Callithrix jacchus: one gene and its partner. Each later gene encodes a partner of the first gene's protein in a complex. Links are inferred from orthologs where the notes say so. Each region holds a gene or a part of one and is shown on either strand. Other genes may lie near its edges.

Region 1 (3,594 bases):
CATAAGACAGGGAAGCTGGGGAGGAATATCCAGGAAGGGGTGAACTGTCAGCTGGTGGAGGTGGGAGTCTTTTATGTTCCTCATGGGTCAGGACTGGACTGGTCTAAACACATATGAGCAGTTAGGCTAATGTCTGGGATGGACGGGCCTCTTGCAGGCTCCCACGATGGCCAGCTACTGAGGCAGGTCTGGAGGCCCTGTGCTCCCCCTTTGCTGGGCTGGCTCAGGGTGGAGGGTACCTCCTCAGGCTCACATTCCCCTCCCGTCCCTACAGATTCCCCAGGCATCCCGCCTAGCGCTGGGGCCCATCAGCTGTTCCGGGGCTTCAGCTTCGTGGCCACTGGCCTGATGGAGGATGATGGCAAGCCTCGCGCCCCACAGGCACCCCTGCACTCAGTGGTACAGGTGAGGGGGTGGGGGTTCTGATCCATTCTCCTTTTTTAGCTCCCCACCAGAATGGCTGAGAATACAGGCTCTGACTTCGACAGAACCAGGTTCATAGCCTCATGCCACTGTGGGACCTGAAGGTCGTCCAACATAAAACAGGGACAGTAAGGCCCACACGGTGGCCCTGATCATTGGATAATGATATGGGTATACATTTCCCAGCACAAGGCCAGGGTCTGGGTATATGCCAGGGGGTTCCCAGGGTGGTGGTGCAGAGTGACTGTCATGTCTCTGGCAGGAGGGTGGCAAAGGACTTGTGTCTCTTCACACTAGTTCCCCATTTTTACACTTTCACTGCTTCATGGAAGTTTTGGGTTGAGAGGCAAGGATGTAGACTCCAGAGCTCATTGCATGGGTTCCAGATTCACAAGATAATGGACTTTGGGTTTTTTTTTTGTTTTTTTAAGAGACATAGTCTTGCTCTGTTGCCCAGGCTGGAGTGCAGTGGCACAAACTCAGCTCACTGCAACCTCCTCCTCAGCTTCAAGTGATTCTCCTGCCTCAGCCTCCTGAGTAGCTGGGACTGCAGAGGCACGCCGCCACACCATCTAGTTTTGTTTTTTGGTATTTTTAGTCCAGACAGGGTTTCACCATGTTGCCTAGGCTGGTGTCAAACTCTTGACCTCAAGTGATCCATCCACCTCAGCCTTTCAAAGTGCTGAGATTACAGACATGAGCACCTGGCCAGATAATGGATTTTGGATGAGACACTTCCCTTCCTGGTGCCTCAGTTTCCTCATCTGTAAATGGGGGAAATGATAGAAGCTTCCTCTAGAGAGTTGTTATGAGGATTATCAGAGTTAATACATGTAAAGTTAAGGTGGGCTGGGCATGGTGGCTCATGCCTGTAATCCCAGCACTTTGGGAGGCCAAGGTAGGTGGATTGCTTGAAGACAGGATTTTAAACAGACCAGTCTGGTCAACATGGTGAAACCTATCTCTACTAAAAATACAAAAATCAGCCGGGCATGTTGGCGCATGCTTACAATCTCATCTACTTGGGAGGCTGAGACACGAGAATCGCTTGAACCCAGGAGACAGAGGTTACAGTGAGCCAAGAATGCACCATGGCACTCCAGCCTGGGTGACAGAGCAAGACTCTGTATCAAAAAATAAATAAATAAAATTTAAAAATAAAGTTAAAGTGACTATGTCATTTATTTTCCAAACTGGGACATCTTTCTTTATCCAGGACAAATACTAAATCAGACTGGATGCAAGGACTACAGGCTCAAACCAGGGCTATCCATGGGGCGTGCAGTCACCTGATGAAAGTGCTTAGAATAGTACCAGGAACACAGCACACACTAAGCACCATTGAGCATTGTTATAGCTAATGTCCCAGAACCTTGAGATGAGCTGTGACACCCAGAAAGGGGAGGCAACTCACTCAAAGCTATAGTTAGTAGTAGAACTGGAACTCAGCTCAGGGCTCCTACATCCCTTCCAGGCCTCCTCAGGCTTTTTAGAACGAAAGACCTCTCCATGTATGTTGTGACCCTCTTACCCACTCCCTACACTGCCCTCTGACCACAGGCTGCAGTCCAGGCAGGCTGGGAGCCAGCGAGTATGCCCATCATATAGAATAGAAAACTGGTCGGGCGTGGTGGCTTCAGCCTGTAATCCCAGCACCTTGGGAGGCAGAGGAGGGTGGATCATAAGGTCAGGAGATTAAGACCATCCTGGCCATGGTAAAACCCCATCTCTACTAAAATAAAAAAATTAGCTGGGTGTGGTGGTGCGCGCCTGTAGTCCCAGCTACTCAGGAGGCTGAGTCAGGGGAATTGCCTGAATCCGGAGTCAGAGGTTGCAGTGAGCCAAGATTACACCACTGCACTCCAGCCTGGCAAAAGAACAAGACTCTATCTCAAAAAAAAAGAAAACTGAGGCCCAGAGAGGGGTAGGCTCTCACCTGCAGTCACATTGCCAGTACTCCACCCCAAGCCTCCTGGCTCTTTCCTGTTGCCATCTCTACTGAGCCAAGACCTTGGTGCTGTGGGATGACCCCTAGCACTCTGGAGCCAGGGGTCAGCCACAATTTTTGGTCTCCTACAGCAACTCCATGGGAAGAACGTGGTTTTTAGTGATGGCTACGTGGTAAAGGAGACAATCGGTGTGGGCTCCTACTCTGTGTGCAAGCGCTGTGTCCACAAGGCCACCAACATGGAGTATGCTGTCAAGGTGGGCCTCCTGAACATGTCTCAGCCAAGGCTGCCGGGCTGGGGGCAGGTCCCCATCTGGCGGGGAGGGGTGGTGCCTGAGCTCAGCAGATGGATGAAAGGTGTGTGGCTGAGACCTCCAGGCCTGCTCCTCTGTAGCAGGGGAGGACCCTGGAGCTTGTCACCCTGACACTGCCATGTGCATGCCCCTTTCTTCAGGTCATTGACAAGAGCAAGCGGGATCCTTCAGAAGAGATTGAGATTCTTCTGCGGTACGGCCAGCACCCCAACATCATCACTCTGAAAGATGTGAGTGGGGTCCTTGAGACTGGGGTGGGGACCAGGAACTTAACTCTCCAGGATTTGTCTCAGGTTTTCCATTCCTTTGACTTCTCATCCTCCTTCCAGTGCTCATGTGAAGGTGAAGGAGGACCCTTGGTCTCTGCAGTCTGGCCATACCCCAAGGGCCCTCCTTCAGACTCAAGCATTTTCTGAAGACCTTCTTGCCTATCAGGGGACCAGTGTCAGCATCCTCTTTTCGGGGAGGGCAGGGCCACTGAAGTGCACAGCAGAGCACATGCCTAAGGCTCATGTCATTCTTCCCTGCTCTCGGATGCTGCTGACTAGGATGCCCAGGCATGACACTGGGGAGAAGAGCCTAATGGTGAGGTCTTTGGCAGGTGTATGATGATGGCAAACACGTGTACCTGGTGACAGAGCTGATGCGGGGCGGGGAACTGCTGGACAAGATCCTGCGGCAGAAGTTCTTCTCGGAGCGGGAAGCCAGCTTCGTCCTGCACACCATCGGCAAAACTGTGGAGTATCTGCACTCACAGGGGGTGAGTCTGGATTCGGGGAGGTGGTAGGGGAATGCCAAGGGTTATACCATCAGCAGAGTACATGAACCACATACTGGCCCAGGAATGGCAGCCTCCAGCCAACTAAACTGAGGGGAGACTAGGGCTGTGTGGGTGGATTCGTGCAAAGG
Region 2 (4,025 bases), on another chromosome or scaffold:
GCACTCCAGCCTGGGTAACAAGAGCGAAACTCCGTCTCAAAAAGAAAAAGAAAACACTGCGTTTGGCTCCGGTAAAGGTGGTGCTGAGAAGCCCTGAGATCCCCCGCAGGCCGCCCTGGAACCCAGAGATGGGGGGATGGGGGGGCGCCCGGGTCCGAAACCCAGGTCTGCCGGCGGCCAAGCGAGTCGGAGTCAGAAAAAGGAAAGCGTTTCACAGCGATTTTTCAACGTTTATTTGTTCACTCAAGTTCTGCTCCTAGAGGGCGAACCTCCTCCAAAGGCCTCAGACTTCGCGGCTTTTGCTGCCTCGGAGCGGGAGGGACAGGGGCGTCCGGGTCTCCGAGACGCGCCCGCGCCCAGGCCTGGCCTGGAGGACGGAGGGGGTTGGAAAGGAGGAAAAGGGGCGCCAGCTTCTTTCTAAAAATGTAGGTGGCCTGTGCGCCCCTCACTGCCCCGCCCCACGGGAATTTACCCTAAACTTACTTCATTTACATTAACATAGGCCGATTTGAGTCTGGGAACCCCGTGCGGGCGTCGGGGAGGCTCCTCTGGGCGCAAAGCTGAGTGAACGGGGGACCCGCGTCTCCGCCGCAGCCGAGATCGGGGTCCCCGCAGGGTTCGCGAGACGCCGCGCCCCGGAGGCGGGACGGGGCCGCGGACCTTTGGGGCGATGGAGGGAGAAGGACGACGGGAGCGGCGCTGGGGGAAGGGGAGGACTCCCTGTCTTTTCTTCGGGCCGGGCAGTCCTCGGGGTCCTCCGGGCTCCCCCATTGCTGGGGAGACGCCGGAGGAAGGTCTGAGGGCTGCGGCCGGCGAAGGTGTGGGGACCCCAGAGGGCTGGGGGCGCCCGGGGACCCCGAGGCTGCGGTTGGAAACGTCCCCGAGGAGAAGCTGAGGACCTTGGGCCGGGGCGGGGGCGGCGGGGAGGGGTCGCCAGGCCGGTCCAGAGCGCGCCCACCTGCGCCTCAAAGGAGCGCCGGGGCCTGGAACGCGGACCTGGGTACCCAGCCCGGGAGAAGCGCGTGTTCCGCCTCCAGCCCCGCCGGCCCCTCGAAGGTCCCTCCGACCCCAGGGAACGCCCCGTGCCCCCAGACGCCGCCCTTCCCCGCGAGCCGCGCGCCCGGCACCCCGACTCCGGCTACGCCGCGCCCCTCCCTCGCCCGGGGCGGGACTTCGTGGGCGGAGCTCCCGGTTCCCAGTCCCGCGCCCCAGGCCACGGACGCGCGCGAAACCCGAGCCGGAGCCTGCAGAGGGGCTCGGACGCGGCGCCCGGCGGGACTCTGGAGGCTCGCGTGGGGTCCTGGCGCTGAGCTGGGCGATGAGCATCGAGGGACTCCCGCTTCCCGCCGCCCCCCGCGGACGCCCGGGCTGCCTGCTGGTGCCTGTGCCGGTGAGTATGGTCCCTCCCGCCCCCGCCCCTTCCTTCTCCCTCCGCGCCCCTCGGCCTCCCCGCGCCCCTTCCCTCCCTCCAGGGGCGGCTGCCCGTTGGGAGGGCTCCGGAGTCCGGGACGCCGCGGTCAGCCAGGACCCCCTGGACCCCCGCCCCGCGCTCCGCCCTCTCCTGCGCGGCGTCTCAGCGGGAAACTTGTGGGGTTTGCGCCTGGACCCTCTGGAAAGGCTTGTTCCGAGGCGCGGGGCTCCCCTTCACTGCGTCAAGTGGCGCTTTCCGGAGTTTGGGGTTTCCGACTGGGCGCCGCGTTTCTTCCAGGGGCAGCTCTGGTGGGCCCCGCGGAGCGCGCGGACCGAGCGTCCCCCCTGCAGCCTCGGGCGCCCGGGCTGGTGCGACTCGGCCTGGGGGAGCCTGAGGGTTCGCGGCGCCGCCTCGGCCCGTGCTGGGGGTTCCCGGCCATTCCGGGGTCGCTGGGACGCCAGCTGGTCACAGAGATGTCTTTTTGGAAGTCGATTCTAGCTCCTGCCCTAAATAACTCCCTCTCCACCTTCTTATTTTTAAATTAACTATTGATTGACAGAAAACAAACGTTGGCTCAAAGAAAAACGAAAAGTTGTTGGAAGCTTTCAAGTTCCCACAGCACAGCCCCGATTCTGAACACGGTTTCGGGGGGCACGTGGCCGCCCAGTCCCGGGAAGCCGCCGACGGGATCCCCTCCCTGCGAGCTCCCAGCCCCAGGAGCGACCAGGAGTACACTTAGCTCCCCTTTGTAGGGCCCCGGAGACGGCTCGGAAGGCCACAGGTTGGGGCTGCTGCAAACTCCTGTCCTCATGGCAATGATTCTAAACTGCGACCGTGGTCCCAGCCACTCTGTTCCGTGTGGACATAGATGCATCTGCATTCAAGCCATACCTTTCTGGGCTTTTACACAACATGTGAAAATGAAATTTCATGTAAAAGCGGGTGTTTATTTCTTGAAGTACTTTGCAATATGAGTATCTATCCCACGGTGGCCCAGGGTCATCCAACCCGAGGAGATATGCGGGGATTACCTGGGAAGCGACTGCAGGAGGAGCTGCGGCCTCCCCGGAATCCCAGGCTCTCCACTGCTTTCAGCGTTAAAGCGATGCCCTCCCATGGTTAGGGATTGTGCATTTTTCTCGAGACTTTCTTGCAACAAGTCTTGCTTTTAATCATTGCAGATATAGCGGAAGCTTTGAAGTGGAGGCATCACACTTCATAATTGACCCACTTGAGGGATTATTGGCGATAACTTCTACACGTGCATCAACTGCGCGTATTCTAGTAAATGGTCTCCTTTGTGCTCAGTGTTAATTAAGGTGCTCAATTTGGTGTTTTCAAGGGCGGCCTCCACTCACCTGTTTGCTACAAGATGTGATTGGTGCATTCTTTGTAATAACGGCCTCGATTATTGAAAACAGCCTATCCGAACTGAATGGAAAGAAACGTTTTTTCAGCGTTCGAGGCCAAATGCTACAAGATGGAGCATTTTAAGAGCAAGACTCCTAACTTTGCAGTCATAAACACTTAGGTGTGCTCTAAAGCTGCCCTAGACACAGGTGCTGGGTAATGTCAGCCCAGAATCTTACTTGTTTAAAAGGAAACTGTTCAGTGTTGGTTTTGGCAGGTTTGTCTTCAAAACACGAATGTTCTCAGCTTGCAGCGTCATCCTTGCTTAATGCCAGAGACAGCTGGGCAGAATTATCCATTTTCTTGCCATAACTGCATAATATTCAAATTGTGTAATTACTTCAGTTAAGAGAACTTGGTGCTTTTACGTAGAAAAAGATGACAAAACATCTTTTCTAGATCTTATATTTCTTTTTTTTTTTTTTTTTTGAGACGGAGTTTCGCTCTTGTTACCCAGGCTGGAGTGCAATGGCGTGATCTCGGCTCACCGCAACCTCTGCCTCCTGGGTTCAGGCAATTATCCTGCCTCAGCCTCCCGAGTAGCTGGGATTACAGGCACGCGCCACCATGCCCAGCTAATTTTTTGTATCTTTAGTAGAGACGGGGTTTCACCATGTTGACCAGGATGGTCTCGATTTCTTGACCTCATGATCCACCCACCTCGGCCTCCCAAAGTGCTGGGATTACAGGCTTGAGCCACCGCGCCCAGCCTAAATCTTATATTTTTTCTGTCTGAAGTCAAAAACATAACACATTCTTTATCATGACTGCTTGTTTGAATCATGGAATTTAGCCAGATTTGAAGGTCTCCTGTTCAGTAGCAGAAGTGTTTTGTTTCCTCTTTAAAGCGCCTGTCCCCCATGCCTTTTTCTAGGTTAGGTCAGTTCATGGAGCTCTGTCTCTGACCATACCTGGATTTTTGGGTAAAATCCCACTGGCAGAGAACCATCAATACAGTGTGCTAAGGGTGTCTTGCTTGTAGCTTCAAACATGACTATTGATTGGTGTTTACAGCACATTCACTGCTTTTGAATGACAACACGTCTTCAGTCTGGGCTGCTGGAAGAATCATTGGCGTGAGCTAGGAACATGCCCATTTATATGATGAACGGAAAGGCGAGGCTACGTTAGGTGGTTTTCAAGGTGCATTTGGTAAGGGCATCACTTAACCATCTGTTCACAGATAGGAATTGCTGCATGAGAG

What was found.
Region 2: the proteins of RPS6KA1 (region 1) and SNTG2 are in contact, whole or in part, in a crystal structure (PDB 7QQL), measured with the Homo sapiens proteins. The link is inferred for Callithrix jacchus from reciprocal best matches to the Homo sapiens genes RPS6KA1 and SNTG2. Residues at the interface, in NP_002944.2 of Homo sapiens: Pro731, Ser732, Thr733, Thr734, Leu735; in NP_061841.2 of Homo sapiens: Gly82, Gly83, Leu84, Gly85, Leu86, Ser87, Ile88, Lys89, Gly90, His94, Ser101, Lys102, Phe104, His134, Val138, Leu141, Arg142.

Annotation. Positions count from the first base shown.
Region 1 is NC_133508.1:63,207,276-63,210,869, forward strand, and holds part of RPS6KA1 (ribosomal protein S6 kinase alpha-1), read left to right. Parts: intron 1-274; coding exon 275-405; intron 406-2,502; coding exon 2,503-2,628; intron 2,629-2,825; coding exon 2,826-2,915; intron 2,916-3,286; coding exon 3,287-3,445; intron 3,446-3,594. UniProt on the Homo sapiens protein: Serine/threonine-protein kinase that acts downstream of ERK (MAPK1/ERK2 and MAPK3/ERK1) signaling and mediates mitogenic and stress-induced activation of the transcription factors CREB1, ETV1/ER81 and NR4A1/NUR77, regulates translation through RPS6 and EIF4B phosphorylation, and mediates cellular proliferation, survival, and differentiation by modulating mTOR signaling and repressing pro-apoptotic function of BAD and DAPK1.
Region 2 is NC_133515.1:114,023,317-114,027,341, reverse strand, and holds the start of SNTG2 (gamma-2-syntrophin), read left to right. Parts: upstream 1-1,225; 5' UTR 1,226-1,318; coding exon 1,319-1,390; intron 1,391-4,025. UniProt on the Homo sapiens protein: Adapter protein that binds to and probably organizes the subcellular localization of a variety of proteins. May link various receptors to the actin cytoskeleton and the dystrophin glycoprotein complex.